Arabidopsis thaliana: one gene and its partners. The protein of the gene in region 1 purifies or fractionates together with the protein of each later gene. This does not show direct contact. Each region holds a gene or a part of one and is shown in the gene's direction. Other genes may lie near its edges.

Region 1 (9,008 bases):
TCGATGGATGGGGTGAATCTGATCCCGATCAATACAATTGCATCCATAAAGCTCCAACTCCTGCCATGGATTCCCTTAAAGACGTATGTTTCCTTTTTTGTTTATATCCACTTCTTTCCTCGATGATTTCGCTGGATTCCGATTATGGACTTCAACGGTTCGATTTTATTCTTCACAGGGGAAGCCCGACACATGGAGGTTGATCAAAGCTCATGGTACCGCCGTTGGTCTCCCCAGCGAAGACGACATGGGAAACAGTGAAGTTGGCCACAATGCTCTTGGAGCTGGTCGAATTTACGCTCAAGGTGCTAAGCTTGTTGATCTCGCCCTTGCTTCAGGGAAAATCTATGAAGATGAAGGTTTCAAATACATCTCTCAATCTTTTGAGAAAGGCACTGTGCACCTTATTGGTCTTCTAAGCGATGGTGGAGTTCACTCTCGTTTGGATCAAGTCCAGGTACTTAATTCTCATCTGTTACACATTTCTTTTGAAACGTTGGCGTTTGTTAATTTTCTTTAATTTGGTTCTGTTTGGTGCAGTTGCTGCTTAAGGGTTTTGCAGAACGTGGTGCTAAGAGAATCCGCGTCCATATTCTTACTGATGGTCGTGATGTTTTGGATGGTTCTAGTGTCGGATTTGTTGAAACTCTTGAAGCTGACCTAGCTGCTTTACGTGCGAAAGGTGTTGATGCTCAGGTTGCATCTGGTGGAGGTCGAATGTATGTCACAATGGACCGTTATGAGGTAGGCAATGCTTGTGAGATCTTGTATGAATGTCATGCCTTGTCTAGTCTAGTTTAGAAATGAATCCAATTTTTGCTTTCCTTCCTTGCAGAATGATTGGAGTGTTGTTAAACGAGGTTGGGATGCACAAGTCCTTGGGGAAGCTCCCCACAAATTTAAAAGCGCTCTTGAAGCAGTTAAGACACTGAGGGCAGAACCTGGTGCCAATGACCAGTATTTGCCTTCGTTTGTTATTGTTGATGATAATGGAAAGGCTGTGGGTCCAATTGTTGATGGTGACGCAGTTGTTACATTCAATTTCCGTGCTGATCGAATGGTCATGCATGCAAAGGCCCTCGAATACAAAGATTTCGACAAGTTTGATCGCGTACGTGTCCCTGATATACGTTATGCAGGAATGCTCCAATATGATGGAGAGCTTAAGCTTCCTAGCCGCTATCTTGTTTCTCCACCATTGATTGACAGAACTTCTGGTGAATATCTGGCACACAATGGCGTTCGTACTTTTGCTTGCAGGTTAACTTTTAGAATCTCTCAAATCTTTAGTTATTGTCTTTGCCATTTTCTTCTATTGCTGCTTCCTGGTTTATTTATTTGCTGGAATTGGATTCATAATTGAAACTGTGATAAGAGTAATCCAGTCTTCTTTACTTGCTCGGTAGAGGTCTAATTTATGATTGGGGGTTGTTTGTTGATTAAAACTAGTGAAATCTCCTAGCTCACTTTTTCTTGATGAGATTATACCGTTGATGGTTAGTTACATATAATGAATGAATTCTCAGCTATTAACCTATTAAAATTTTATTTCACTGAAACAGTGAGACTGTGAAGTTTGGCCATGTAACCTTCTTCTGGAATGGCAACCGCTCTGGATATTTCAATGAAAAGTTAGAAGAGTACGTTGAGATTCCAAGTGATAGTGGAATATCATTCAATGTCCAGCCAAAGATGAAAGCACTGGAAATTGCCGAGAAAGCAAGGGATGCTATCCTTAGTGGCAAGTTTGACCAGGTAAGGTGTATTCTCTTATCACATTGTATCAACCCATTAAAACAATTGGCTTCTGAGTTTGGTGCCAATGGATTTTCAGGTGCGTGTAAACCTGCCAAATGGAGATATGGTGGGGCATACTGGTGATATTGAAGCAACTGTTGTTGCCTGTGAAGCTGCTGATCGTGCTGTGAGGGTATGATTTCAATAAATTTGTGACATGGGAATGTTAGAAACCGTTCTTAGTAGCAATGACTCACTTAGTTTTGGTGTCCTGGTTTGCAGACAATCCTTGATGCCATAGAACAGGTCGGAGGGATATACGTTGTGACTGCAGATCACGGAAATGCTGAGGACATGGTTAAAAGGGACAAATCCGGCAAGCCTGCTCTCGATAAGGAAGGGAACCTTCAGATTCTTACCTCTCACACCCTTAAACCAGTAAGTTCTAGCACTACTAAAACAGTTCGTGTTATGACCATTGCAACTGAGCATAGATTAAGCATGAGGGGTTGTAATACCAGAAGTGGTTGGTGTATCTTATATGAAATTTGGACATGATGTGTGTGTGCAGGTGCCAATTGCCATAGGAGGTCCTGGCTTGTCAGCAGGAGTTAGGTTTAGACAGGATATCGAGACACCTGGGCTTGCAAATGTAGCTGCGACAGTGATGAACCTCCATGGATTTGTGGCCCCGAGTGACTATGAGACAAGTCTGATCGAAGTCGTCGAGAAGTGATGATTCTTGTTGTTGTAGTTCTTTTTAAAAGTCCCACCTGAGCCTCTATAGACTCTGATTCTCTTTTAAGTTACTATTTTCACCGCTCTCTAATAAGGCTCGTGATTTTTTGGGAGCCATACTGTATACTCGCCGGCCCTCTCACGATGTTGTTCAATTCACAGACTAAATTTGATTTATCTATTTCGCCAAAACATAACTTCATTAAAAAATGTTCTCCAAATAACTAAACGAATTAAATAAAAGAAACCTTTCATGTAAAGTTAAAGGTATGAGACTTTAAGGGCAGTTGCTGAACATTCGTAACACATGGGAGAACAATAGAGAAAGTTGAAAAGAAACGTAGCATATAGAAAAATTATCTTTGTAACCAAGTTGATTTAGAAAAATATCACTATTTGTGAAAAATACTAGATCAGTTTATTATTACTTTTTTTTTTTTTGTATATTCACAAATATCATATTCATATAGAAGAAAATAAACAAAGTTGTAAAAATCTGGCATTTAAAATAAAATTGAACACTTCAATTTATTTCCTTTCATAATAATAATTTTGGCATAAGATATTTGCAAATTGATCTGGTTCGGTATGGTCGACAAAATAATTTTCCACGCTACCCTTCCAGCCGTCCATTCACTATTTGCCCTCAACGTTACCAAATAACGGTCCAGATTCCTAGGGCAAGATCTAACGGTTAGCAAGTAAAGTCGTACCATCAGAAAGAATAACAATTCTTTCACAAAGTAAACATAACCAACGGTTAACAAGTTCTTAGGGTTAAATCAGTAAGATCCAACGGATATTAAATTGCAAGGCCCAAATAGTTTTTTTGCAGCAGATAATAACTCGTCCCCACTGGCGAGTGACGACCGAGACTCTGTGACCCTATTTTTCGAGACGATAAAAGGGCAAACAATCGCTCTTTTCAAAGCTCGCCTCTTCACCACAGAGAAAACTTCGTCTCTCTTCTCTGCTTCGCCCTCTCATTTCCTGTGAGATAAAGGCGGAGTCTCTCTCCAGTTATTTTGCTCATCCATCGATTCTTAGGTATGACTCGTTTCTCTCAGATCTGTGATTCTTTATAATCTCGTCGTTCTTCAAATCATTGTTATATTCGTTTCTTCGATCTGTGTTTTTTAGATCTGTAAGGTAAATGAGACGTTTCGATCTGTAGATCTGATTGTTATATTGATAGATTATGTTATCTGCTTTGCTTAAAGTCCGATCGGAATGTTTTGTGCTCATTGTCGAATATCTGATGTATCGGTTTCATAGATCTGCTTCTTTTTGTGCGTTTCGTTGATCTGATAATCTTCTAGTGATCAAAATCGTTTGGATCTGTTGACTTTAGTTTAAAATGTATCCGATCTGATGTCGAGGCTTCATTATTGGAAGTTGTTATTGTTGTAATCCTGATTTAAGTTGCTGTTCTTAAATTTATATGATCTTTGCGTTATAATATGACATGGTAGATCTTGGTTCATGGTTCACTGTTTTCCAATAAACTTGGTTTGTTTGGTTGGATAGCGTTCTGTGATACGACCATGTCTTGTGTTGGATAAGAATTCTCTGAATTTCCTTGGCTGGTTTGTAGTATGTTATTCACGTCTGGTTTCTCATCAATGATTATGTGATTTTGCAGAGTTCAAAATGGTTGATCAAGTTCAGCACCCCACTATTGCGCAGAAAGCTGCCGGGCAGTTCATGCGTTCAAGTGTTTCCAAGGACGTTCAAGTGGGTTACCAGAGGCCTTCTATGTATCAAAGACATGCAACCTACGGAAACTACTCCAATGCTGCATTTCAATTTCCTCCGACATCCCGGATGTTGGCAACAACTGCTTCTCCCGTGTTTGTCCAAACCCCAGGAGAGAAGGGGTTCACTAACTTTGCCCTTGACTTTCTGATGGGTGGTGTTTCTGCTGCCGTCTCCAAGACTGCTGCTGCTCCTATTGAACGTGTTAAGCTTTTGATCCAGAACCAGGATGAGATGATTAAAGCTGGCAGGCTTTCTGAACCCTACAAGGGTATTGGTGACTGTTTCGGCAGGACGATTAAGGATGAAGGTTTTGGTTCTCTATGGAGAGGAAACACTGCCAATGTTATCCGTTATTTCCCCACTCAGGTTTGTTGAGTTTCATACTCTTTCTTGTTATAGCTTTTGAAAAAACATAATTTTCTGCTAACCTTCTTTTTTGTCTATTGTAGGCCTTGAACTTTGCCTTCAAAGATTACTTCAAAAGACTTTTCAACTTTAAGAAGGACAGAGATGGTTACTGGAAGTGGTTTGCTGGTAACTTGGCATCTGGAGGAGCAGCTGGTGCCTCTTCCCTTCTGTTTGTGTACTCCCTTGACTATGCCCGTACCCGTCTAGCTAATGATGCCAAGGCTGCAAAGAAAGGAGGTGGTGGAAGACAGTTTGATGGTCTTGTTGATGTCTACAGAAAGACACTTAAGACTGATGGTATTGCTGGTCTGTACCGTGGATTCAACATCTCATGTGTTGGTATCATTGTCTACCGTGGTCTGTACTTTGGACTCTATGACTCTGTGAAGCCTGTTCTCCTCACTGGTGACTTACAGGTATGTCTTGTTGTCTTTCTCTCTGATCTGTGTGCTCTCTTGCCTATCATTGGTTGATATTGACATGTTGTGGTCGTTCTCTTTTGGTTATTTCAGGACAGTTTCTTCGCTAGTTTCGCTCTTGGATGGGTTATTACCAATGGTGCGGGTCTTGCATCCTACCCCATTGACACTGTCCGCAGAAGAATGATGATGACGTCTGGTGAAGCTGTCAAGTACAAGAGTTCTTTGGACGCCTTCAAGCAGATCCTCAAGAATGAAGGAGCCAAGTCACTCTTCAAGGGAGCTGGTGCCAACATTCTGCGTGCTGTTGCAGGTGCTGGTGTGCTTTCCGGTTACGACAAATTGCAGCTGATTGTCTTCGGTAAGAAGTACGGATCAGGAGGTGCCTAAGCATTGCTTCTTCCTCCTTTTTTCGATTTTAATTGCGGTTTTAAGGCCCGCAATAAACTGAGATGTTGATGAAATTTTTTTTGCTTAAGACTTAGGGAGGCATGTGCCCTAAACCAAATTTTATATCGTTCTGACGCCAACTTTTTTTACTTATGGAATAATTCATGTTTGAGAGAGTTTGTTAGACTCTTCGATTTTAAAGAATTTTGGATTTATGAAATAAATTCTTCTTTTTTATCTGATTACCATGTTATTTATAGTCTTAATCAACTTGCAATATTGATTTCGTTATCTTAGGTAGTATCTACAATCTAGTTCAGGCTATAAGTTAAAAAAATGCACGCATCCAAACCTGTGTAACTTAGAAGTTTTGTACGAAGTAGTGAACTTAAACTGTAGCAACAATGATGAAAGAAATGTTGCAAACTCATTGTTGAGAATATCACTTATATATTGCATGTCAATATTTCACTCTTCATATCCCTCATATTGCACCTATGTCTATATCAGTAGTAATGAGAGAGCGAATGCATAGAGCTCGGTTAACATGCATAAAACATGGAAAATGAGAGTGAAAAATCTACTATGCAAATCGCCCTTTAGCATCACCCATCTCTGAATTATTTTTGTGGAACAGAGTCATAGAGTTGCACATCAGTTTGGAATTATGAACATTGATAGAAATCAAGAAAACTTCCAATAAGAAGACACCAAACAGATATTTGAGTTAACAAAAGGTGTTTCTGAAAGCTTTGAAATAAATTAAAATAGTGATGTATTAGTGATTAAGGATCTAGAGATATTTAAAAGGATCTGTCATTTTGCCATTTGTCTGCTGCTATTGGAAGGATTTTGATCCGACAAGGATTTCACATCTCAAATCACCATGTCAATTGTTTGGTGAAACAAAATAGAGCAAAAGTAGTGGTGACAAAGTAGGGTTCATAGGTGGTTGGTTAGTATAAAAGAGAGATTAGATAGAAACTGAGAGTGGAGGTTGTAATAGAGACCTCAATTAGTAAAGTGAAAGTGTGCCCCCAAGAGACTATAATTGAGTCTTTATGGAGCTCCGTGCCACACACAACCCCCTCTCGGCTTTTCTCACGTGCTCTGAATCATACATCACCAAAAAAAGCATCTCTTCTTTTTTTTTTTGGAGTCAAGATTACGAAATTGAAAGTGCATTATAAAGTCTATTAGAGAGTTTTTAAAAAATCCGAGCAAGAAAAGGAAAGTGTTCAAAGCCTATATGTTTCTGAAAGGCTCCTCCTCAAATTCATACTCAAGGTCACAATGGGTATTATATCGGACAATGCTCAATCTCACTCGTCTTCCTCTGCCCCTGCTCCTTCCATCTTCTCCAGCTCCTTTGCCACTCGGTCTGTTCTCTGTCTCTCTTTCGTTCAAACATGTCAAAGTTTGTTCCTTTTATGCAATCACGTATAGATTTCTTACTTATCCGATGCATAAAGGATTCGTTTTTACCATATATAAATTGCAGCATATTCTCAGATGTTGCGGGAGACATCACAATTGTTGTTGATGGAGAGTCCTTTTTACTCCACAAGGTTAGTGATCTGTTTTTTTTTTTTGCCCACACAAAGTGTTCGACGGAATTTCAATTTACGATGTTTGAATTATTTTGCAGTTTCCTTTAGTGGCTCGGTGTGGAAAGATTAGGAAAATGGTGGCAGAGATGAAAGAATCATCTTCAAATCTCTCGCATACAGAGCTCCGAGACTTTCCAGGTGGGTCTAAGACGTTTGAACTCGCCATGAAGTTCTGCTACGGCATCAACTTCGAGATCACTATCTCCAACGTGGTTGCTATCCGTTGCGCAGCTGGTTATCTTGAGATGACAGAGGACTTCAAAGAAGAGAATTTGATTGCGCGGACCGAGACTTACCTCGAGCAAGTCGCGTTTCGCAGTCTTGAGAAGTCTGTGGAAGTCCTCTGTTCCTGTGAGACGCTTTATCCTCAAGACATTGCTGAAACTGCTCACATTCCTGATAGATGTGTGGAGGCTATCGCTGTGAATGCTTGCAGAGAACAGTTAGTGTTAGGGCTGTCACGGCTGAACCGAGGCACCGAGTCAGGGGAACTCAAGCGAGGAGATAGTCCTGAGTGGTGGATTGAAGACCTCTCTGCTCTGAGGATTGACTATTACGCACGAGTTGTCTCTGCGATGGCTAGAACAGGCTTGCGGTCAGAGAGTATCATAACGTCTTTGATGCATTACGCTCAAGAATCGTTGAAAGGTATTCGAAACTGCAAGGAGCGAACCAAGCTCGATTCGGGTACTTTTGAGAATGAACAGAGGAACGTCCTTGAAGCCATTGTTAGTCTTTTCCCAAATGACAATGTCCCTCTGAGTTTCCTCTTTGGAATGTTGAGGGTCGGGATTACCATAAACGTAGCCATCTCTTGCAGGCTCGAGCTCGAGCGGAGAATCGCTCAGCAGCTGGAAACAGTCTCCCTCGATGATCTACTCATACCTGTTGTCCGAGACGGAGATTCCATGTACGATGTAGACACTGTCCATAGAATACTCGTCTGCTTTCTGAAGAAAATAGAGGAGGAAGAAGAATATGATGAAGATTGCTGTTACGAGAACGAGACCGAGAATCTTACTGGTTCTATGTGCCACAGTTCATTGCTGAAAGTGGGTCGGATCATGGATGCATACTTGGCAGAGATTGCACCAGACCCGTGTCTGAGTCTTCACAAGTTCATGGCTTTGATAGAGATATTGCCTGATTACGCACGTGTCATGGATGATGGGCTATACAGAGCCATTGATATGTTTCTAAAGGTAAAGTTGTTCTTCTATCCCTTAATATGGAGGCTGTGTCTCTGTTTTTGCAACATTTTGTATTGATAGAGTGTCAATGTTCTTTGTGTCTCTGGTTAGGGGCATCCGTCGCTGAACGAACAAGAATGTAAGAGTCTCTGCAAATTCATAGACACTCAGAAACTTTCACAAGAAGCATGCAACCATGTGGCTCAGAACGATCGGCTGCCGATGCAGATGGTGGTCCGAGTCCTCTACTCAGAACAGCTGCGTATGAAGAATGTAATGTCCGGAGAGTCAGGGGAAGGGCTATTGCTGTCTTCTCAGAAACATAGTAGCGAGAACCCGAGCCGAGCTGTGTCTCCGAGAGACACTTATGCCTCACTGAGGAGGGAGAATAGAGAGCTGAAGCTGGAGATTTCAAGGGTGAGAGTGAGGCTGACTGAGTTGGAGAAGGAGCAGATTTTGATGAAACAGGGGATGATGGAGAAGTCAGGTCATGGTGGAACATTGCTGACCTCACTTTCCAAAGGGATTGGGAGGATTTCGATATTTGGTGGAGGACCTACAGAAGGGAAGCTGCGGAATGCTAACCGCAAATCCAAGTCAAGGTTGGAGAGAAAAACCGTTAGGAGCCGACCAGAGTCTATGTTTTAGGTAGCTTAGAACATGTAAATATCATATGCATTCTCAACAAAATGGGGTGGTTCTTGAGTATTCTATATCTTATGAAAAATCTTGCAAGTATTGCATTGCGATTACTCAAA
Region 2 (7,358 bases), on another chromosome or scaffold:
TTTTTTTTTGTTGACTTGTAATTATATTTCCAACTACCACAACTTAATACTCCAATCATTCACCTCCAGAAGTGGATATCTAAAAGTACAAGCTCACAGTTTTTACCTTTAGTTGCATAGTTCAAGAAGAAGAAAAAGTAACATAGAAGAACAAGAATAGTAAACAGTAAACAAAACTCACTTTCTCTTGAAAAGGACCCTGATCCTCTGTCACCAATTACTCCAAGGTGTTTGGGCCCGGTAACATTTCTGTTCAGCTGCACAAGATAAGACCAAATAATAAGATAAGTTAAAGTAGAGAACAAGTAATAATAAGAAGCTGAGAAAGACAGATCATTTGTCTCAAGAGAGACGATGAAAAATGGTAACAAAATGATATTAGTAGAAACAGAATTATTTAAAGTCATAATTCGGAATTTACAATATGCTAACCTTTGCAAAAGTTGTGGCAAGATCATCCATGTCAGATAATGATCCTAAACCAGCACCCTGAAACCAGAAGTAAATGTTTTGTTTTATCTTCCATTTATCTCATATATAATTAGCATCAAATATTGCCAAGAACAGACTCAGTCCAAATTACCTCTCTTTTATCAAACAAGTGATACTCTTCATCATCAACATGTCCACGAACAGTACCATCATCATCAAGACCACCCAATTCGACTTCTTCAAGACTTTGACCAAAGAACTCATATTGAGATGCGTCAAAGAGTGCACTATTGTTATCTGCACAAAGACAATAAGATCCAGTTTCATCAAACACATGAGGTAAGTGACAATCAGTTGACCAGAAAATTTAAGTAAAACTAAAGCTTTTGTAAACAAATCTGTGACATTTCAATCATTTCATACAACTTCAAAAATCAAATTAGTAAATCTTATAGGTTACTACAAAACTTAAAAAAAAAACGAATCAAATACTGTAACAAGGAAGATAAATCAAACATAACAAGCATGAAACAAAAAGTATGTTTCTCTTAAAGTTTTCACAAATCAGAAGCAAATCAAATCATTCACATCTCAGATCAAAGAAAGAAGCTTTAGCAAACTGATGAATCACAAAATAAAAACACTTTTATTAGATTTGAAAACAAAAAGAGCTGAACAAGAAAGAGAACTGACCAGAAGAAGTCTTAGCGAAGTTGTAGAAATCTCTAGAATCAGATCTCTCCATGATCAAACACAAAGTAGCAGAGACACGAAGACAGCTAAAACACAAAAAAAAAAAACAGCGAATACGATCGAATCTCCAAAAGGGTATTGCTACTTCTTGTCAGAACTAAAGAAAAGGTAAGTAAAGATTAGCTGAAATCGCTAGAGGTTCCCGATTTTCCGGGATTCATATTGAGAAAGAAGAAAGTCGAAGGAGGAAACTTCTCTTCCTAAAGAAGAGATTTTTGATTAGATTAGATTAGAGAAGAGAGAGAGAGAGAGAGAGAAAGAAAGAGAGAGCCTTTTTTTATTATCTCTGCCCTGTGCTATGCGTAACATTGACACATCTCGAACAAATCCTCATTTCTCTGTCTGAAATAAGCATTTCACCTTTTTTTTTTTTTTGGTTCGTTAAGTTAAAATAAAAGAGAATAAATTAAAAATGTTTTCTTTTGTCGTCAAGGAAAAATTCTCTTCTGTTGACAAAAAATCAAAAGTAAAAATATTCCACTTTCCGAACTTTTTTTTCTTTTAATTAAAATTATACAGTATGTTACTAAAATTAGTGATAGTGATTACAAAAGATAAGAATAACCTTTTTTTAGTGCTGTCTGCTTTTTTATTTTATTATTCTCTCTATTTTAATATTATTTATTACATATTGCTGTGTCTACTAATATTAGTGATCATAAACATTTTCTTATCATAGAAATATAATTTCCTGCGGCATTTGAAAAACATCGACCGATTTCGTGTAATCCACACTACATTCACGATTAAAAAAAATTATTTTTTTAACATATGAGACCACTATAAACAATTATACATGTAAACCATACATAATTTCATAATTTGCATTTCTAGGCTTCAGATTTTATATGAAAACATTAAATAAATTATTGGATAACTACGAGAATTCGTCTTATTTCTGTAATTATTTTGGATAACTACGAAAAACAATTTAATTGATATAGCCATATAGGTTATACCACATCCACTAACTACTAGTATATGATTCTAATTAGTAAGACGATCCTTCTAAATATATGATTCCACCTATTTTCTCCTTTTAAGTTTATGCTTTTACTTGTTTGAAACTCCTCAACCAAACCAAATAAGTTAGTTATGAAAACTTAATTGCATAGAGATTAACAAAATTAAATACACATCGACGAAATAAAATAAAATAACTGGAGGGACAAGTTATATGGTCCATGTGAACGGATTTCATCCGGTCGGTTCAATTTGATCTCATTTGCTAATTTATTATACACAAATTCAAATGGTCTATTTTTTATAAAATATGACACCTATATACTTACTTGCGTAGACACGATATAACCGGCCAAGCAAAGTTTTCTAAAATATATAATAATCTGCAAATATGATGTTAACAGTCCATAATTATAGACTATAGTCTCGCAGTGGCTAGAAAAGTCAAGCATGCAATTTTTAATTATAAATATTTGACACATTTTAGTAGAATTATAAACAAATATATTGATTGCTGCGAGAAGAAGTTTCCAACTTTGTTCGTATGATGAAAGGTAAATTTTGTGATCGAAAACGAAAGTAGACATGTTTGAAAGTCTTAAAATATTGGTAGAAAGGTTTTCGAAATTTTCGTGACAATTAAATTGATAATTTTGAGTATGGAACTTGATCGAAAAATTAGAAGATTTTGAGAAAAAGACAGCATGTTTTTATGCGATACAATGTATAGTTTCACAAACAATTCCAATAATAATATGATAAATGTATAATTTTGTAGATAGTATAAGTGTAATTTTGTAAAAGTTAGTCACTATACATAGTGGTAGTGCTATGAGCAAGCCAAAAAACATATATGAGTAACTAAAATTAGCAGTCAAATATAGAGTTGGATAGCTTCAACACCAATCATAAAAGTTTTATCAAAACCGTTACTAAAAGTTTTACTTTTTTTTTTTTTTACAGCTCTCTCGTATAATTCTTTTGTAAATTTTGCACTATTTCAAAAATACTTACAACTCCAGCTAACAACTTAATTCTTTTTACAGTTTTGTATTATCAATGGGATCCATAACAGTTGTATAATTTTATATATGTCTTTGTTAGTTCAAAAAAAAAAGTTTTTGTAATAATAACTCTTTTGAAGTTTGTACGAACGTAAGAAAAAAAAAAAAGGAAAACTAGAATTAGTATGACCCAATAACTGAAGCTAGGTTTACCAGGCCGTGTGATAAGAATATAAAGCCCAAATTAAAAATGGGTCTAACCTAAAGGCCCAATAACTGAAACTAGGTTCTCTCCGCATCCATTTTCTGCATTACTATTAAAGCCGCATTTCTCATAGAATCCGCCACTTAGGGTTCATAGCAGCCAGAGAGAGAGACAAGTGAGAGGGATCTACCAAACGAAGCAACAATGGTGAAGTTCTTGAAGCAGAACAAGGCCGTGATCCTTCTTCAAGGACGTTACGCCGGAAAGAAAGCCGTCATCATCAAATCCTTCGACGACGGTAACCGTGATCGTCCTTACGGACACTGCCTCGTCGCCGGACTCAAGAAGTACCCGAGCAAAGTCATCCGCAAAGACTCAGCTAAGAAGACAGCTAAGAAATCTAGGGTTAAGTGTTTCATCAAGCTTGTTAATTACCAGCATCTGATGCCTACTCGTTACACACTCGACGTGGATCTCAAGGAAGTGGCGACTCTTGATGCTCTTCAGAGTAAGGATAAGAAGGTTGCTGCTCTTAAGGAAGCTAAGGCTAAGCTTGAGGAGAGGTTCAAAACCGGTAAGAACAGATGGTTCTTTACCAAGCTCAGGTTCTGAAGAAATTTTCTATTTCGTGAGGAATTCATTTTGAGCGTTTTGTTATCGTGTTTTTTAGTTTCTAGGGTTCATTTCCCATGGTGAAAAATGTGGATCCTGTTTTGGATTGTGGAAGATGTTTTGTTGAAGTTTGGATTATGGATTTGATCTTTTATTTTGATTCTCTAATGCATTCTTATTTACTCTTTTGTTTCCGTTGAATTATATTTGCTTAGGCTTGAGGAAATGATGAATTTAGTAACGTCTTTAGGCTGATATTGGTTAAAATCTGGAGGTCCATTGCAAAGAATTCTTGTTCATAGCCTTAGTTAGAAAATTATAGATGTTCAAGTTTCGTAATCTTCGAAATTGAATTTGGTGTTACTAATTGTCTTAATCACGGTTTTGAATTAGCAAAATATCAATAGCTAATTGTTTTTTGAGCAAGGTTCTGATACAATGGCTATATCTCCTTTGTTTATAAGCTTCTCTGGCATTAAGTTTTGATAGAATCGGGAAATGTATTTACCAAAAGTTGAATCTTGTATCGTTTTTGTTAGATTCTGAATATCCCATTGCAAGTAGCTTATTCCTAAACTCGTCGTAAAATACAGCAAATTTTCGAGTTTCATTTGTCTAGGAAATTGATAATTTGTAATCATCAAACTTACAGATACAGCCAATGATGTTAATTATTTATTTCAGAGTATTGAGAAAAACTCACATATGATTTCTCTGTTAACTGTATAACAAAACGCAGGCTACTAAAAAACAATCACTATTGCGGTATCGTTAATCTGATCTAAAGACAGATTTGTAGGCTTATGTGATTGTTTGTTTTCTCACTTGGGAACCAATAAATCGACAGCTAAGTAATAGCTTCCTACGATCACAGTCGATGCAACAGAGCTTCGAGCCATCCTCATCCCAATACCTCGGAACAAGAGATTTCTGTCTGTAGGATGGATTCCTGTCCATCTCTCTAATCTCTTCCCTGGTTTATTCCATTTTAGAAACTTCCTCTCCTTTGCTGTATACTGTAAGTAAAACAATAGAAACCCAACAGAGAAAATGAGTTTCATATCTCTTTGTAAGATAAAGTGGAAAGCCATGAGTAGAGTTTCTTTAAACCTTTGGCAATATTACACACTGTGCACGTGTTCTTGCTGTGTCAAAGCTATGTGATGCTGCAGCTGCAACGGCACCAGATATCCCAGCAGCAAGGCTAATGGCTACCGGAGATAAAGGTCCAACTTCTTCTTCAGAACTGAATTCATCAAGTTTCCGCATAATCATTTTAACAATCAACAATCCAAGTTCAAGTGAATTGAGAATTCAGTGTCGATTGAGAGTTTTAAGTACCTGGGCAGAGGATTCATCCCAACAGCTTTCCAACCGACCATTGCCTCGTGAAGAAACTGCCATGTTGAAAAGAATACTCCACCGTAAATACAATCTCTTATAAGACCTGAACGTAGATTCCTCCATAAAGCTCTATATCCTTCAAGTGATGCAACATCGAGCGGTCTCTTAACATCCATGGCTGATGGTGGGTTTCCTGTTCCAGTCATCATCCAAGGGTACTCTTGCAAAGCAGCTGTCATGTTTGGGTGTTTGTGATTTAAGACGGATAAGAGACTGACTGTTTGTGTCAATGACTTTACATCAAGAGTGTATCTTCTTAGCAGTTTTGTGATCATGGGTGAGACCGGTGCGGTCTCTGCAACAGCGGAAGCATTTGGAGCCCGTGATGCAGCAGTCACTTGTTTTCGGACTTTGATTAGCTCAAATGGAGAAGTCATCACTGTTTCTGCTGCACCTCCCACCAGACCAGCCAGAAAAGCTTCACCAACACTCACGTAGTTATCATGTCGACCATCTGGAGCGAAATGAATTCATATTCAGATTCTTCAAGACAAAGGTATTGCCCAAAAAGGAACCAAATTTGCGTATAAATGACATGAATGTATGTGAACACTGTTGCATATTCTAACATAATCCATGAACAAATGATTGCTGTATTGACTAATTAACTGATGTTATTGAGCTAATTGACAGAGGAGCTAGACACAAAGAAACCTAATCTTGAATCATCGAAATCAGACACAACAAAGGAGACATGGACCTGTGTAATACCTTTGTAGAAAGCTGTTAGAATCTCATAGACACCAAACCTTGCACCAAAACCAGAAATTCTTCCTAAAGTTAACGATCCAAGACCACTGTACAGACCTGCATTTGAAGAACATGTCATTATGCCTGATGCAGAATCAGAAAATGATTGGAATCTAAAAGAGTAGTTTGCGAACCTGAATAGCCAGAGAATCGAAGAACTCTATTAAAAACTTGAAAGGAGCTTAATTTCTTATTGGGTCCTGAACCAACCTGTAGTTCAATGCTATTCTTAATCCCCAGATGAATCTAAGTGATAAAAAGAACAATTTGGTGAAGAAGAGGGAAAAAACCTGGATAATGGTTTTGATGGTATCTAAAGGATAAGCGAGAGCAGTTCCTAACGAGACAGAGGCCGAGGCAGCGATGGCATGTGTCGCAAACTGATGATTCTCAAGAAGCTTATCCATCTTTAGCCTCAGCGAAAACAAATGTACATATACCTATACGTTTTTGTCAGCAACACTACAGACTACAGTATCAGTATTCAAACATACTATGTCCTTTACTCTTATCATAGTCTCCAAAATTAAGAGGTTTAGAAGTAGATCAACAAGTTCTTATCATCCATTTGATCCAACACAAAATAAACAATAATTAGAGTATTATCATACCTCAAGTCAAGAAGAGTTTTCTCTCACAGGATATTAAGTAAACAGAAACCTCATCATCAACCTCAAAGATGTTTCACGTTGAAGCAAAACCCAGATCAGCGACAGAGAGAAGACGAAGAAGACGACCGACGCTAATCGGAGAAGAAAAGACGACGTCGTTCAATCAGAAAATGCCCTAAAGGAAATGACGTCGTTTTAGTTATCAAGGGTAAACAAAAAAAAGTTAAAAAACGGAAAACAAATTTTAGCAAAATTGGGTTGGTGACGTCACGATACAGATTTGCCGATTTATAGGTCATAAACCAGAAAAAGCTGCCAAACCTATTTTCTTCGAACCCTAAAAACGGGCCGGGTCGATTTCTCCGCCATCGCAATCCTCCACCCTCCTCTGATTCTCTCCGCCGTTCGTCGGAAATCTCCATCTCCGGCTGATTCCAGCTTCCTCTTCTCCAGAACCGAAGCTACTGTACCGGAATTTTATCACTTTCCCCGAAACCGATTCACCGTAACCGGCCACAAACCAAATCAGGTCTTTTCTCTTCATCTCCTTGTACAAATTTTTTACGGGTTTGTTTTGTTTGTATCGAAATTGTTTATTCCGGCTAAGAATTTGGTGCATGAGGT
Region 3 (7,431 bases), on another chromosome or scaffold:
AAGTCTATTTACTTCCTTTTGCGTTAAGACGTGCCGTAGTTCCTATGGTACGGGAGAGGACTACTCGCCATAGGAAATCTATGGTAAAATTGGTCATTTTTCATATTAAGCTCTTCAAATGGACAAAAGGCTAGAGGGTATATATAGCAAAATATAGCTGATTTAGTTTATTGAGTAATAAACTTCTCCAATAGTATAATCTTAAGCTGCATATTTGGATTACGCATAGAGCTTCTAAACTATCTAGTAAGTATATATGCCATTAATTAACAATGAGACTTTGCTTTTTCTTTTTCGTCAAACTCACTGGGACTTTCTTAATCACAAAGTTGTGGAGCAAAATACATCACAAGGAAAGAGCCAACTTGTATCGTCTTCTTTTTTTTGGGCGCGATATATATATATATATATATATATATATATATATATATATATATATATATATATATGCGACTGAGTCACGAGAAGTCGTATTTATAATTGGTCTATAAAGAAACGTCAAATATTATACCTAAAATATTAAAAATTAACATTATTCTTTGCATCATCCAGGGGCGGACCCACGGTATAGTTTGTGGGGACAGTTGTCACCAGTAATATATAAAGAATTAAAGGTTTTAGCTTATACATTATAGTTAAAGTAGCAAAATGGTAGAGACTGCCCCTACTAAATGCTGAAGATAGCAGGTTCGATTCTCATCTAGTTACATTTTGCACCTACTAAATTTCTTGGCTGGGTCCGCCACTGGCATCATCTAGTTATTCTTATAACATTTAAAAATAATGGTTCTTTGCCGTTTTCTTTAGTCGTTGGAATAATAAATTTCTGGAGACTAACAATGACTGTTATCTGCGCTCACGCGGTTCTACTAAAACCGACCTTCTTTGGTTCTTCCCTTACATGACTATATATCTTCGTTTGCAAATATCAATCCATATATCATACACATCTACATACCATTTTCATCTACATTTTCAAAGAAAAATCATAATCTGTTCGAATATGAGCCAATACAGTCAAAACCAATATGCAGGTTTGTTTGTTTTTTGAGTCCCTACAAATTAAGCATCATGATCATGTATCATCGTTCATCAATCTCGTCATACATCATATTTCTAGAGTTTTATGGTAACAAAACTAATGTCAAATATGTATAATTAGGAGCTTATCCTACGCCGCCAGTGTCTACCGGTCCATACGTGGCACCGCCACCGCTCGGTTACCCAACGAACGACACGACTCATGCTACGGTGGCTCCTGTCGAGACAAAGTCTAAAGGTGAAGCTGCTGATGGATTCTTGAAAGGCTGGTTAGTCTCTCTTTTTTCTTTTCTTTTTTTCCAATCCTTTGGAAAATTTTAGGACAATTTGTTATTGTGGCTCAACGTAACCGGGACCGCACGTTTGATAAGTTATTGTTTTTTTTTTTGTTAAATGCAGTCTTGCGACCATGTTGGCCTGTTGCGTCCTCGACGCATGCATTTTCTGAGTTCGGAGGAAGCAGTCGATTGTTTATTAAATTTGACACTTCATGCAAATATTTTTCATTGTATTTTGCAAGTAGTTTTTGGGATTCGATTAGCTTATAACATTTGGACCTCCTATTTGTTGATTTAATTATTTATTACTACTTTTTTTATTTTATTACAACTTAGTTTGTAATAGTAAAATTTATTCTACTTTGTGCCCAAAACTGTCAATTGTTGTTCATTTAAATTTCTGGAATTAGATTTAGATACGCTAAATTAAATCACATTTTGCGTTTATATTCCCACCTAATTTGAAACCAGCAATTATTCTTCTTCATAAGAAAACTTTCATGTGCTCTCTCGAAAATAAAGTTTTACTCTAATAACAACACGCACTTTGGACGAGATAAAGCGATTCAAGTAAAATTATTATGGTTCAAACTATTATCTAAGATCCGTTTGTGTAAAACATAACTTCTAATAACATATATATTCTGATCTACTTTTGTTAGTTTTTATTAGTTAATATAAGCGTTAATTATTGTTCTCTCTTTTGCTTAACATGTAAATATTCCCATGGAGAAAGAAGTACACTTTTTGCTTTGAGAAAGAATAAAAAAACTCTTTATTATTACTAAATCAAGAAAAATATAAAACCATGCTGCATTTATCATCATTTTACATATTCTATATATAAGGTTCTCTAATTCGTATACTTTTGTAAATAGAGAACAACGAATTAAAAGACCAAATCGATAGCATCTTACCTTTTTGTTGATATTTATTAAGAGAAAAAATCAACACATTGTTATTCTTCAAGAGAATAAATTTCTGGAGACTTAGCAGTTAATGCAATCTGACCTCACGCGTTTTTTTTTTTTGACCTCACGCGGTTTTACTAAACCGACCTTCGTTTACTTCCCTTACCTCTCTATATATATATCTCTATCTTCATTTGCATATTTCAATTCATTTCATAATCATACACCTCTCTACATTTGTTACTACTTTCTTCTAACTTGTTTTCAAAGAGAAATCACAATCTATCTGTTCCAAGATGAGTCAATACAGCCAAAACCAATCTTCAGGTTTGTATTCTTTTCTTCGTACTAATTTAGCATCAGACCATATGTTTAGTCAATATTCTCATGGTTATAATCATATTTGCAGTTTCATAGTAGTAAGTACTTTTTTAAATGGTAATAAGACTAATGTGAAATATGAATAACTTATAGGAGCTTATCCTACGCCGCCAGTGTCTACCGGCCCTTACGTGGCACCGCCACCGCTAGGTTACCCAACGAACGACACAAGTCATGCCACGGTGGCAACGGTGGAGACAAAGTCCAAGGGTGATGGATTCTTAAAAGGCTGGTTAGTCTTCTTTTTCTAGTATAAACCAGGCATGCACGTTTGGTTAACTATCAAACCGGTTCGGTTATCGTGTGTTGCATTGATTAATTTGTTTTCTTTCATTTTTTGAATGCAGTCTTGCGGCCATGTGTTGTTGTTGTGTCCTCGACGCATGCTTCTGAAGACTTAGATGGTTTATTTTGATTATCTTTGTATTTTGCTTTACCAAAATGATTCGACTAGGTTTATGACATTTGGTACTTCTATTTGTTAATTCATTTCTATATCACTCTTTCTTTTGCATTGTGTAATTTTATAAATTCTTAATATATCGTTTGTTTTCTCTTAGACATCTTCTAAACCACGCTAGATTCACATTTTTGACTTTATTACCGGTTAGTCAACGTGGACTTAAAATCAATTTAATAACACTATATAAGCCAAAGTTATAAACAATTAAAACTCTTGGGGTTAGAATGCAAATAATGAACAAATCGATGCGTATAAATATCTCCCGATAAAGCCCTAGAATCCAAGGAAGCGCCGAGAGAAAGACAGAGAAGAGAGTGACAATGGTGAAATGTATGAAGCCAGGAAAAGCCGTGATCCTTTTACAAGGACGATACACCGGTAAAAAGGCGGTGATCGTGAAATCCTTCGATGACGGTACCGTTGAGAAGAAGTACGGTCACTGTCTCGTCGCCGGATTGAAGAAGTACCCAAGCAAAGTCATTCGCAAGGATTCGGCAAAGAAGACGGCTAAGAAATCGCGCGTGAAATGCTTCTTCAAGGTCATCAATTACCAGCACGTGATGCCTACGCGCTACACTCTTGATTTGGATCTGAAGAACGTTGTCTCCGCCGACGCGATCTCGTCCAAGGATAAGAAAGTGACGGCTCTTAAGGAAGCGAAGGCGAAGTTTGAAGAGAGGTTTAAGACTGGCAAGAACAGATGGTTCTTCACCAAGCTTAGGTTTTGAATTCTACAGTTTTTAATTTTAGTTTTAAAGTTTCAATTTTTATCTACCATGAATTGTTTTTGCTTCTGGTTTAGCTCAAGGTTATGTTTTGTTCTAAATTTCAGTAATATATATTCAATTTTGATGGTTAAAGTTTTAATCTTTCTAGTAACTCTTCATTGTGAGACATTTCTTTCAATCTTGTGGTTAATGAAACACAAATTTATTAAGAAATGAAGAATCAATGTCAGATGATACAACAAGGATTAAAAAAATTCAAGGTGTTTTGGATCTTTTTGCGCATAACCATTGCCTTGATGTTTGGAGATCATCTTCTACGCTCATTGGTACATGCCAGGTTCCATCTTCAGACTCCTGCATCATTCATCAATCAATCATCATCATTAATGCAAAATGCATACGAAAACATTGAGATGGACATAGAAATGTGAGTGTTGACCTGTATAACAATGGAGTATGGAGGTGGCATATTAAGTTTGAGTCCATCTTCTCTAGTGACAGAGATCCGAACCTGCAAACATTGAATCCAGTATCAATCAAAAGCTTATGTATATACATTACATAGACTCTTATATTATATGTTACCTGATGCTTCTCTTTCCACCTTGGGAAGAAACTATTTCCAAGTAACTGGAAGAGATGGTCTCTCATCTCATCGTTTGTTACTAACAAACATTTGCAACTTACCGCAGCGTAAAGCCAATACCTAGAACAATTTGATTTCACATAAGAAATGGTTGTCTTTTTTGGATTATTCATGGTCAATGTAATTCATAGACCCAGAAAAAAAGGCAAATGCAAATACCAATCATCGTTTGAGCCAGGAGGGGTAGCATAGAGAGCACCAGCGTTTTTCCATTTCTCTAGCAAGGCTCTGTTTTTAGGGTATGTAGCTGGACCTCCATTTACACGACTCTTGTGCAGGATCACAAGTGGTAACCTTTTCGACGGGCTTATTTGTTGGCATCTTTGGACAGTGTTGTTAAGCTAGTGGGGAGAGATAAAGAGTCGCATTAGATAAAGTAGTCAAACAATGGTTCTTGAGATTGGCATTAGAATGAGAAAGAGTCAAAACCACCTGGAAGAAGCTGAAACTGCGCTGGTTGACTAAGCCCATGTTGGCTCCATCAATGACTGCATCAAACGGTCCATGTCTTTCCAGCCATTCCTGCAAGCAAAAAACAACAACACATTTCTCAGGTTTTCTTTTAGATAGTTTTAATACAATCTTTTAGACAATAATTGTTACCTGAAACTGATTAAAATTAGCCTTGACTTCTCTTTCACATGCCAATCGGGTCAACGATGCAGCAAAGGTTTCTGTCTCAACCGGATTGATATCAATACAAACAAGCTTCTCTTTGCAACATTTACATACACCATTCTCATCCATCTCTGTTCTTTTCACATTCCATTTGCCAGTCCCCAGCCATCCTTGTCCATGCCACCCACCACCACCACTCACAACCGCATCCCTTATTTTCTTCACATCCCATTTCTTCACTCCAGTTTTTGTAGCTACTTCAGATTTAAACCACTCCTCAATCATATCAAAAGTCGATTTAGAAACCTGTCTCACCAAATCTCTCAATCGCTGCAACGTCTTATAGACCTTGTCTGCGTTCTTTGTATCCATACTAACTTTCAAAAGAGCAGCAAGCTCAGGTTCTTCAGGGACTACCTCTGATTCAACCATATGCGCATCGACTTCATAAGCTTTGTCTGCATCACCTTTCCTACAGAAACCAAAAAGGGCAGGTCCATAGGATCTCAACCTTGGTTGAATACCAAAGGCTTTCATCTGTTTCACCATATCGAAAGCCATTTCCGGGTCATCCTTTGCAACTGCGAGTCTAGCACCGTTTGTAAATGTAGCTTCATTGGGAACAACTTTATCAACAATCATCTGCTTAAAAATATCAAAACCCCTACTAAGCCCTGGATTTGGAGACGACTCTGTTGCTGCCTCAGCCAACGAGCATACATAAAGCAACACATTATAATGGTACTGGCTAAGCTGCACGCCATTGCGTCTTGCCTCATCATACAAGCGAAGAGCTTCCAAGACATCACCTTTCTTAGAGCACATATCTAGCTTTTGTTTCAGCAATGCTTCAGGAGACTGTTGAATAGCTTTCTTCTTCGCTTTCCTCGATAAGTTTTCAGAAGGAGAAGCTGCTGATTGTTTAGCAGCAGCGAGAGGCAATGTACATAGATGTCTGCTACGCTCAACAAGAATAAGACGTCTATCTCTGGTGCCTTTCACAAGTAAGGAAGTATGGTAGAAACGAAATGGAGAAAATCTAGGATGGTGGAGATGAACAGATGGGACTTTGAGCATCATTGCAAATAAAGGACAACACGCTCGAGAAAAAGAAGGTGTAAAACAAGTTAAACGCAGCATAACTTTGCTCTCAAGCTTGTTGAAGAATTAATTCTCAGTCGAATTCATCTGCAAGAGACAGGAAGAAAATATTCAAGAATTAAAAAAATGAGCTGTTTACACTTAGTCTAAGCATCTAAAAGCTCTATAGTCTATACATTATCGAGAAATAAAGAGCAATAACAACAGAGAAGACAAAATTGAAAACCTTTGATATACGGGCAATTTACAATATATCCGAAACAAAGTCCAAGAACAAAACTTTAGATATTGGTTATGTAAGAATGTGAGTTAGTAGTCGATAAAAAGGAGTAGAAATGTGAAGAAACATGGAAATTGTTCATTGGGTAATATCGTCGAACAGGTTGAAGGCAACACATAAGAATTTTGAGAAAAAGAACTTACATCGAACCAGAGAGAAACTTTCTTTCTGGTGGGAAAATTGGAAAAGATAAAAAGACGACTTTGGTCGACACAGCTTGTCCTTCAGGATTCACCATGGATTATCTCCAAGGTTAATAGATTGAGATATAAGAGTGTCATGGGATAGAGATTTTGGATGCTACTTTCTAACGACGTCGTTTTAGGTACTCTGTTTATTTCTATCCTGTGAAGCCCAAAAACGGCCTAATATTTACACATTAGGGCTTTAGAAGAAAACGCTAGGGTTTTAAAAATTGGGTTTTTTCTTTCTCCTTTTCGGCTTGTCAATTTTGATTTTGGGTTACAAACTTACTGATCTAGATAAAACCCAGACCGGTCATGGTTCCGTCTTGTGTTTACAACATTGTTTAGCGCATAAAACATTAAAAGAAGAATGATAACAAACACACAAGAAATCACTTCCATTTTAACGAATGAAACATATTTAAGAGTATTACAAGTAAGCGAATGCACAAGAGAGTATATGACAATGGAACGTATAGCTACCTAGTATCTATACAAGCATGAAACAGAGTGTGAATGTCTTCTTATCTACAGAAAACCTTTGTGATGAATATGCAGCATGATAGATCCTTCAACTAATGGTGATGATGATCAAAGAATGTGAATGTCTAACAACTGCAAAAAGGTAGCGGTCACCATTCTACAAGAGCTTGTAGTAGCAGTCACGGCCTGAGAAGAGAGTTTGGTAGTTTCTTCCACATGGACAGTTGATCTCAACCACAAAGGCCTCACCGAGTCTGTTGACCTTCACACCTTCTTTGCACTCTTTTGGTTGCTCCTCTTGTTGTACTACCTCATC
Region 4 (8,246 bases), on another chromosome or scaffold:
AAAATGGTGAAGAAAGCAAAGGAGTGTATGAAAATGAAAGCAAGCAAATCAGAAATATATGGGAGAATGCAATCAGTGTTTATAGAGATGGAGACATCCCCACCTCAGGTTAGTAATAATGCCTTCTCCTATATTTATAGAAAGAAATTGTTTGAAATTAAAGAAAAAAAAGAACCTTAAATTTTTTGCAGGATAATTCTGTAGCAACAGATTTAAAAGAGTTGAAAGAAGTTGTGATGAGACCAGACGAAGGAGGCGATACAAAAGGAAAATTCGATCCCGATGTTCATATAGAGGCTAATTTACCGGTTAGAGTAAACGAGCAAAGAGTGAGCAATCTTTTGCAATCAGTTCTTGTTGGTTTAACACTTCTTGCAGTGACAGTCATTAAAATGATCCCAAGTTCAGTACTTTGGGGTTACTTTGCTTATATGGCGATAGACAGTCTCCCGGGAAACCAATTTTGGGAGAGATTGTTGCTTCTCTTTATTCCTCCTAGCCGGCTTTTCAAGTTAGTTAATATATATCTTTTCTTTAGTCTATTTTTAGAAAGGTCTGCCTTTCTCAATCACTGGTTTCATCTAAATGCAGAGTCTTGGAAGGAGTGCATGCTTCATTTGTGGAGTTGGTACCATACAGAGTGATTGTAACATTCACACTTTTCCAGTTGGTTTATTTTCTCTTGTGCTATGGTATGACATGGATTCCTATGGCCGGGATATTTTTCCCCGCACTCTTCTTTCTACTTATAAGTATAAGAGAACACTTGCTTCCCAAGTTATTCGATATGCAACACCTTCAAGTGTTAGATGCTTCTGACTATGAAGAAATAGTAGCAGCACCTATCCAACACTCAAGTTTCGCATATAGGGTAAACCTTTGGTCTCTTAATGAGTTTAAACTGATTCAGGGGCTTTTTGTGTACACGTGTGTGATACCTTTAAACCATTTTGTGAGCAGAAACTAGGGTCTTCTCATCATTTATCAGAAGGTGAAGATGAATTCTACGACGCGGAGATATTGGATGAGATGACTACAAGCAGAGGTGAAATAAGGATCCGAACCATAAGTTTTAAAGAGGTAATAAAAACAAATTATATCTATTCTACACAATCCAAGCATTGATATGAAAAAATGCATATAAACAAGAATCTTGTTTCAGGTGCACCCGGAGCCTGAAGAGAAGCATGTAACCTTTGAACCACATTAAAAAGAATCTTTTGCAATTGTTTTTGTACACAACTGTATTTGTGCATAGGCATACATTGACTATGTTATAACTTTCCTTATAGTGGAACTTTGTTTCAGCAATTAAATATGAGATTATTCAGCATTCAAATTATCCAGTACTTGCTGCATTATGGCCATTTATTCGGGTGACGGTGAAAGCATTATTTATAAGCTTATATATATGTCTTCCGCTTCATGAGGATAGCTAATAGCTATTCTCTAAATCCGGATCGATCACCTCTGCCATGAATACCTTGTCACCTCGTATTGCTTGCTTTGCAAGAAAAATGCGCCAAATTTCAAGACCAGTTAATAGCTAGCAAGAATAACAATGGTACACCAGTCAAAGTTATTTTAGAGGAGATAAAAGATTTTCACAACGCTTTTTGCTTTACACGTCATCTCTCGGTTATTCTTCTGACACATAGCGTGGCTCCAAAGTAATCATATTTTCAACGTATTGCAGAGAGAGAGGTCGAAGAAGATAATGATCATTGTATAGTGTAAAGGTTCAAAGTTGATTAGCATATAGCTCTGTTCTTGAGTGATGGATAAGAATGGAGAATTAGGTCTTGTTTCTTAATACTTCTCGTCATATACGAGTTATTGTATACAAATGCATACATTGACTATGTTATAACTGTCTTATAGTGAAACAATGTTTTCAGCATTAGTAACCCTTATATAGTTTCTCCTCAAATCTGAGCTATAGCATTCAGATTATCTAGCACTTCTTGCATGGTTGGTCGCATCTTCGGGTCTACCTCTAGGCATTGTTTAATAAGCTCGCACATAAGTCTTCCCGCTTCAAGTGGATAGCTATTCTTCAAATCTGGATCGATCATCTCCACAATGTTGTACTTTTTATTTTTTATTTCTCGCTTTGCTGAGATTGTGAGGTCTTTTCCTAAACCAGTTAACATTTTAAGTAGTATAACACCAAAGCTATACACATCGCCCGCCATGTTCGACATCCCTTCATTTGATTAGTGCAATCAATTAAGGTTAGTCTCTTTGAATTTAATGGTCACTTTTAACTTTAAGATATAAGGAAGAAGCAGAAGATTGTTGCCTGAGAGTATGTATTCGGGAGGTGGGTATTGATATCTAGGTGCTACATTTGAAAACCCGATGGTGTATACCAATTCATCGAGAGAAACTTTTGGCTTTCCAAAATAGGAAACTCTTGCGTTGAAGTCCTGCATATCCCATAAATGTCACTTTAAAGGTAAGGAGCAAGTATTCAAGAAAAAAAACAAAAAAGGCAAGGTGAATACAAACCGAGTCGAGCAGGATTTTCGAAGCAGTGAGATATCTGCGGTATAGACCGGCTTGCTTCCTAGAGTGCAAGAAGGCAAGACACTGAGCCGCTCCTATGGATATCTTAAGTCGTGTCTCCCACGGCAATGACTTTGGACGACTATCTATGATATTATATAAACCATTAAATCCAAAAGGAAGATGAATTACTATTGGATCTAAGGTTAAGATCGTAAACTCGTGAGAGCTCCAGAAATCAATTTGAGCAACTCTCTTTATTCCCTCTCTATGATATTAAATTATCTAGGAATCATTTAGCTTGGTGTTCTTCAATTAGTATATTTTCCTCACTTCCACTAAATAAAGCTCTAATGAGCTATCTCAATTTTTAGATCTAGTTTTAAAGCTCTTATTAAGAGCTCTTACCTTTGGGTCTTGCTCGAGCAAGATTCTTCTTGCTTTGAGTCTACTCACAAGATATAATGACGAAAAGGAGATGAATAAACTTAACTTCCTTACCTCTACTGATGTAACTTCCTAAGCTTCCATTTGGAAAGTATTCAGAAACAATAAACAACATATCACGATCATAACAGTAGCCAATTAGCTTCACCAAGCTTGGATGAGAGTTATGTCGTAGAAACTCTACGTCAACCTACAAAAATATCATCTCTAATGTTAAGACACACTGACCCATCTCTAGGGGTAGGCAACATAGACATTTACCATCCAAAAACATCAAAAAATTTAGAAGAATAAATAAGTAACAAGAAACTTAACAATATTATTGGTTTTGCCGAAGGTTCTCCTATAGATTGAGATGATATAATTACTTACAAGCCAATCTTGAAAAGCTTGTTCATTGGCTAAGTAAATTTTCTTGACCGCGACGGCCATGCCAACACCTTTCTTGGCCGGAGATAACGTTTTGGGATTGATGTATCCCAAGCTCTCTCCTAGTTCCATCTGGTTTCCGAAATCATTAGTCGCTTTCTTCAGATCTGCCACCGTGAAGACTTTCACACCCTCCTCCACTATACATATATTATAACAAAACTTATATCCATTATAGTAACATTCAAATCAAAAGTACTTAAATCCGCAGAGAAATATATATATGTATACCTGATTTGGGAGCATTTGGTTCGGTGGGAAGTGTCGAAGCTGAGAGACAATTTCCCATTCGGATACTCTCTGCTAAATCTTAACACTAGAGTTCAATGAAGAAGAGAGGACTTTTAGTTTTTCACACCGAGGAGCAAAGTCAACGAAAACGCGTTTGAGAGTCAACGGTTGACGCGTTTTATTTGGTGAGTCATACGACGCCGTTTTTTGATAAGAGTACATACTACGCCGTTTGGCTAGAGTTTCATACGACGGCGTTTAAACAGATGTCTCTGGATGCTTCTTCCTTCTTCGTTCCCGGGTTAAATTACAAATAGCGGCGAAGGGGTTTCATCACAATTCACATCTTCAACGTTACTCCGAAGAAGATAATGGCGTCGTTTCTCCAGAGACTAGTAGATCCCAGGAAGAATTTCTTAGCTCGTATGCATATGAAGTCTGTTTCTAATCGCCTCCGCAGATACGGTACTCTTTCTTTCTCTCTTACCCTAGAAACCAAACCCTAATTCTCTTCTGGCTGATTTTGGGAATTTTACGATTTTTTAGGTCTTAGATACGACGATCTTTATGATCCTTTGTATGATTTGGATATTAAAGAAGCTCTTAATCGTTTACCGAGAGAGATTGTTGATGCTCGGAACCAGCGTCTTATGCGTGCAATGGATCTTTCTATGAAACATGAATACCTCCCAGATAATCTTCAGGTATGTTTTAGTCTCTAAGTAAGTGACAACAGAGCTAAAACGGTATATAGCTATGGAGTTTGTAGATAGAGCTTGCAAGATTTGACTTAAGACTTGTATTAGGATCAAGAACACTCTGTTTTCAGAAACCTGTTTTGGTTCTGTAATATAATTGTAACTTGATAAGCTTTGTAAGATCTTGTCTATGAAAGAAGTTTTTTTTGAGATAGTGCTTGTTAGTTGTGAGATAGGAAGCTTATGTAAATCTTTTTTTCTTTTCCTTGTCTCTGTAATTCCACAGGCAGTGCAGACTCCATTCAGGAGCTACCTCCAAGACATGTTGGCTCTTGTAAGAACAAAAACAGTTTTATCTATCTTGTAGTGATAGAAGAATCATATAGCAAAGTTCTAACACACGACACTTCATGTGCAGGTGAAGCGGGAGAGAGCTGAGAGAGAGGCTTTGGGAGCTTTACCTCTCTACCAAAGAACCATTCCTTAAGCATGTTAGTCTCTCTTGTGCTTATAGTAGGGTCACTGTTTTAGTACTCTTTAGGCTTCAATACCGCACAATTTGCTTTTGTATGGTTATGCATGGATATGTGAACCTTATGTATAAGATTTTATGAGATTGAATTGGATGTGTAATGTAAGCTTGATTGAGCTATTACAGAAATATGAGTAAAATATCCCACACCGGTAGGAGGAGAGTAAATCATGCTACATAAAGACATAAAGGCACACAAACCCTTAAGCTAGCTTTTGGAAATGTTTTCACAGTTCCTCATAGGAGCTCTGAAGAGAGGCGTGTAACCTCTGAACCACAATCCTTTATAACCCTTAGTTTGTCCTCTCAAATATGGGCTATAGCATTCAAATTATCTAGCACTTGTTGCATGGATGGTCTTTCCTTGGGATCTCTTTCAAGGCAGTTTTATGAGCTTGCACATACGCATCCCCTCTTCAACACGATAGCTATTCTCTAAATCTGGATCGATCATTTCCACAATGTTTTCTTTTCTATTCTCTGTTGCTTCCTCTGCTAAGATGATGCACGGGTTTCCCAAACCAGTTAAGATCTCAAATAGTATAACACCGAAGCTGTATACATCGCCCGCCATGTGTGATCTCCCTGTATATGCGTATTACCGTGCAATCAGTTTTAGGTTAGTGTATGAATTTTAATGGTCATTCTGTAGCTTGAGAGAGGACTTACCTGAGAATATGTATTCAGGAGGTTCGTAGTAAATTCTAAGAAATGCGCTCAATACAATTTTCTAGCTTGCTTACTCCTATAAATGTAACGCTCTAAGCTTCCGTTTGGAAAGTATTCAGAAACAATGAACAACAATTATCATCCGAACCGTAACCAATGAGCTTGACCAAGCTTGGATGCAGGTTATGTCGTAGAAACTCTAGGTCAACCTACAAACCTCGGCTGCCGTGTTAAGCATACATATATGAGTGATCAGTCTCTCTCGTAGAGGTTAATTTCTTACAAATCACTTTTGCAAGGCTTCTTCATAGGTTAAGTAAAATCTCTTAACGGCGATGGCCATGCCAACACCTTCCTTAGATGGAGATAACGTCTTGGGATTGATGTGTCTCCTCACACAGATTCATATATACCTGGAATTGTTGCAAGTTGTTCGGTTAGAAAACAGTTTCCCATGCCTATAAGATCCGCTTTCTTGACAGTTAAACAGAGTTTGAGGAAGAAGATGATTCACCTTACTTATCTAGATCTACTCCACCGGGCTTCAAGGTTCTGGAGTAAGCCATTGAGTATATGGACGTCTCAAGTCAATGTGTTAAAATGTCAACGCGTTGGAAAATGTCAACAAGGGAACCACCAACTTTTGTAGTTTATAGTTATAGTTTTAAACCTATGACGTGGAGCACAATATTCAAGTTTGTAGTTTAAATTGATCTTGCAAGATTGAACATAAGACTTGTATAAGGATCAAGAATCGTCTGTGTTTAAAGAGCCCTTTTGTGAACAACCTTACATAATTAGCTTTTTCCCATAGCCAATTTTGAATTTTTTTTTTTGTCGTAGCCAATTTTGATTTAATATACACAAATATTCATATTCATATTCATATCTTTTTTTTTCGTAGGGTTCATATTCATATCTTGTGCTAATAATGATCAAAGAATAATAGTTTATATAATTTTATGAATTTGTAGTCTTGTAGCATGAACTTTTCTCTGTCTTGTAGTGTTAGGGGGCTTATTGCAAAGTTCTTACACGATACTTCATATGCAGGTGAAGCGGGAGAGGCTTCGGGAGCATTACCTTTCTACCAAAGAAACATTCCTTAAGCATGTTAGTCTCTTGTACTATATAACTAAAGCCCACTTAACCAAACATTCCTTATGGCTCTTTAGGCTCCAATCTACCACACAATTTTACCTTTTATGGTTATGTACGGTTCACTTAAACACTGAACTTATACATAAGATTGATGTGTAATGTAAACTTGATCATTAAGTTAGATGTTAATGTTTACACAATTCCTCAAAGATGCCACTTTTAAACATTTTTTACATGAATCATATATATACAACGATGCTTTGCACGGTCTAGTGAATAAGTGTCGAGGTAGATAAGAATGAGATAAGGTATTTAAAGTATTTAATAGAGTGGTGTCAGTAGAGAGAACGATATGGATTTGTATTTGAAGACATTTCCATGTGAGTCACATTAGCACAGGAGGGTCCTTTGCCTAAATTCATTAATGAATTACTTAACAGAAATAAAATGACAATGTTCAATTAAATGTGAGTAGACTTACTCCTATTCTTTTCTCTCACTTGCCAAATGCCAAATTGCCAATAATTATTTATTACTGATGATTATTAAAAAAAATATTTTTCTTTTTGCGGAGATTTATTAAATATTGCATGATTTTAAAAAATAGTTATAGCCTAGCTTCCAAAAAGCCAAATTTATGTAGCTAAATGTTAAAACAATAGTATATGGCCACACTTCCACCAATCAGTCTTACTATCATTTGTCTCTTATGCGGTTTTGAAAGGATTTTGGTGCTTCTAATTTCGAATTTAGAGGGACAAACTAAAATTACGCAATATTTGAAAAGTAAGAATTATTGCTATTAAAAAATCTTGATACGATTCAAAAAAAATTATATAAAAAATACGGTTTTTAATTATTTAAATTTTCAGCATCTTTACACAAAAAAGAAAAGAATTCATTCTCATGTTCAAAACTATCTATTTTGTTAACTTTGTTTTTGAATTATGCAATTTTAAATATATTTCCTAATAATACTAGGGATGTTTGATCTTAAAATAAAAACAATTTGGTCTTAGTCATCAAATTTTAATTTTTTTTGGGTTTTTTTTTGCCGTCTATATTTATTATTTATTGCAAATTATGAGAACTGTTTCATATACAATTCTACCCAGAACAATTTTTACGACTCTTATTAGATCTACGAGAGATGATATCTCCTTCTTCTTCTCCATGCTTTTGATAGACATATTCAATGATCCTCTTTACGTAGAATCTTGACGAACGGCTATAATTGTACATCGTTGGAGATCTCATGTACATTTACCTCCATTAATCTGCAAATTTGTTAATAAATCTTAGTATCTGGGACTCGAACCTCAAATTTTTTGGTATAAAAACATTAATAAACCTTTCGTCAATCAAAGGGATTTCCAAAATCACGCAATATCCCTACCTAAACTGGAAACTCCGACCCAAAATCAAACAAAAATTTGAATTCAACATCCCTACCTAATACTACGTATATTATATGAATACAACGTACCTCAAATAGTATTTTGTCTTTACCAATATAAATTATATAATTATAACGGACCTACTAATATATATACAAAAAAAGGTTATCGATATCTCTTCTCTGTACAAGAGATCGAGTCATGAGGAAATGGGCCCGTAAAAGAGTAAAAGAA

What was found.
Region 2: the proteins of AAC1 (region 1) and AT4G15000 fractionate together in Arabidopsis thaliana (co-fractionation; one large-scale study listed by BioGRID). This does not show direct contact.
Region 3: the proteins of AAC1 (region 1) and AT2G32220 fractionate together in Arabidopsis thaliana (co-fractionation; one large-scale study listed by BioGRID). This does not show direct contact.
Region 4: the proteins of AAC1 (region 1) and AT5G25450 fractionate together in Arabidopsis thaliana (co-fractionation; one large-scale study listed by BioGRID). This does not show direct contact.

What each region holds. Positions count from the first base shown.
Region 1 is NC_003074.8:2,602,148-2,611,155, reverse strand, and holds AAC1 (ADP/ATP carrier 1), read left to right. Parts: upstream 1-3,260; 5' UTR 3,261-3,522; intron 3,523-3,582; exon of another isoform or gene 3,583-3,624; intron 3,625-4,117; 5' UTR 4,118-4,125; coding exon 4,126-4,599; intron 4,600-4,682; coding exon 4,683-5,057; intron 5,058-5,153; coding exon 5,154-5,450; 3' UTR 5,451-5,721; downstream 5,722-9,008. Other genes in the region: iPGAM2 (Phosphoglycerate mutase, 2,3-bisphosphoglycerate-independent), read left to right, coding at 1-83, 179-457, 541-744, 836-1,260, 1,563-1,755, 1,835-1,930, 2,020-2,175, 2,309-2,473; AT3G08570 (Phototropic-responsive NPH3 family protein), read left to right, coding at 6,744-6,829, 6,952-7,018, 7,099-8,262, 8,362-8,898. UniProt on the Arabidopsis thaliana protein: ADP:ATP antiporter that mediates import of ADP into the mitochondrial matrix for ATP synthesis, and export of ATP out to fuel the cell.
Region 2 is NC_003075.7:8,568,335-8,575,692, forward strand, and holds AT4G15000 (Ribosomal L27e protein family), read left to right. Parts: upstream 1-3,481; 5' UTR 3,482-3,561; coding exon 3,562-3,969; 3' UTR 3,970-4,027; coding exon of another isoform or gene 4,028-4,053; 3' UTR 4,054-4,347; downstream 4,348-7,358. Other genes in the region: AT4G14990 (Topoisomerase II-associated protein PAT1), read right to left, coding at 182-257, 433-489, 584-729, 1,126-1,177; AT4G15010 (Mitochondrial substrate carrier family protein), read right to left, coding at 4,791-4,985, 5,080-5,215, 5,311-5,827, 6,085-6,180, 6,258-6,333, 6,414-6,530; AT4G15025 (uncharacterized protein), read right to left, coding at 7,072-7,353.
Region 3 is NC_003071.7:13,675,551-13,682,981, forward strand, and holds AT2G32220 (Ribosomal L27e protein family), read left to right. Parts: upstream 1-3,359; 5' UTR 3,360-3,394; coding exon 3,395-3,802; 3' UTR 3,803-3,973; downstream 3,974-7,431. Other genes in the region: AT2G32200 (cysteine-rich/transmembrane domain A-like protein), read left to right, coding at 902-1,034, 1,163-1,310, 1,441-1,489; AT2G32210 (cysteine-rich/transmembrane domain A-like protein), read left to right, coding at 2,527-2,557, 2,705-2,843, 2,959-3,004; PRORP1 (proteinaceous RNase P 1), read right to left, coding at 4,058-4,156, 4,242-4,313, 4,388-4,508, 4,608-4,789, 4,881-4,970, 5,052-6,206; AT2G32235 (uncharacterized protein), read right to left, coding at 7,273-7,431.
Region 4 is NC_003076.8:8,853,050-8,861,295, forward strand, and holds AT5G25450 (Cytochrome bd ubiquinol oxidase, 14kDa subunit), read left to right. Parts: upstream 1-3,867; 5' UTR 3,868-3,986; coding exon 3,987-4,080; intron 4,081-4,161; coding exon 4,162-4,319; coding exon of another isoform or gene 4,320-4,337; exon of another isoform or gene 4,338-4,599; coding exon 4,600-4,647; intron 4,648-4,731; coding exon 4,732-4,800; 3' UTR 4,801-5,427; downstream 5,428-8,246. Other genes in the region: AT5G25430 (HCO3- transporter family), read left to right, coding at 1-108, 192-511, 592-871, 961-1,080, 1,163-1,210; AT5G25440 (Protein kinase superfamily protein), read right to left, coding at 1,926-2,206, 2,303-2,429, 2,512-2,654, 3,010-3,145, 3,271-3,524, 3,616-3,673. UniProt on the Arabidopsis thaliana protein: Component of the ubiquinol-cytochrome c oxidoreductase, a multisubunit transmembrane complex that is part of the mitochondrial electron transport chain which drives oxidative phosphorylation.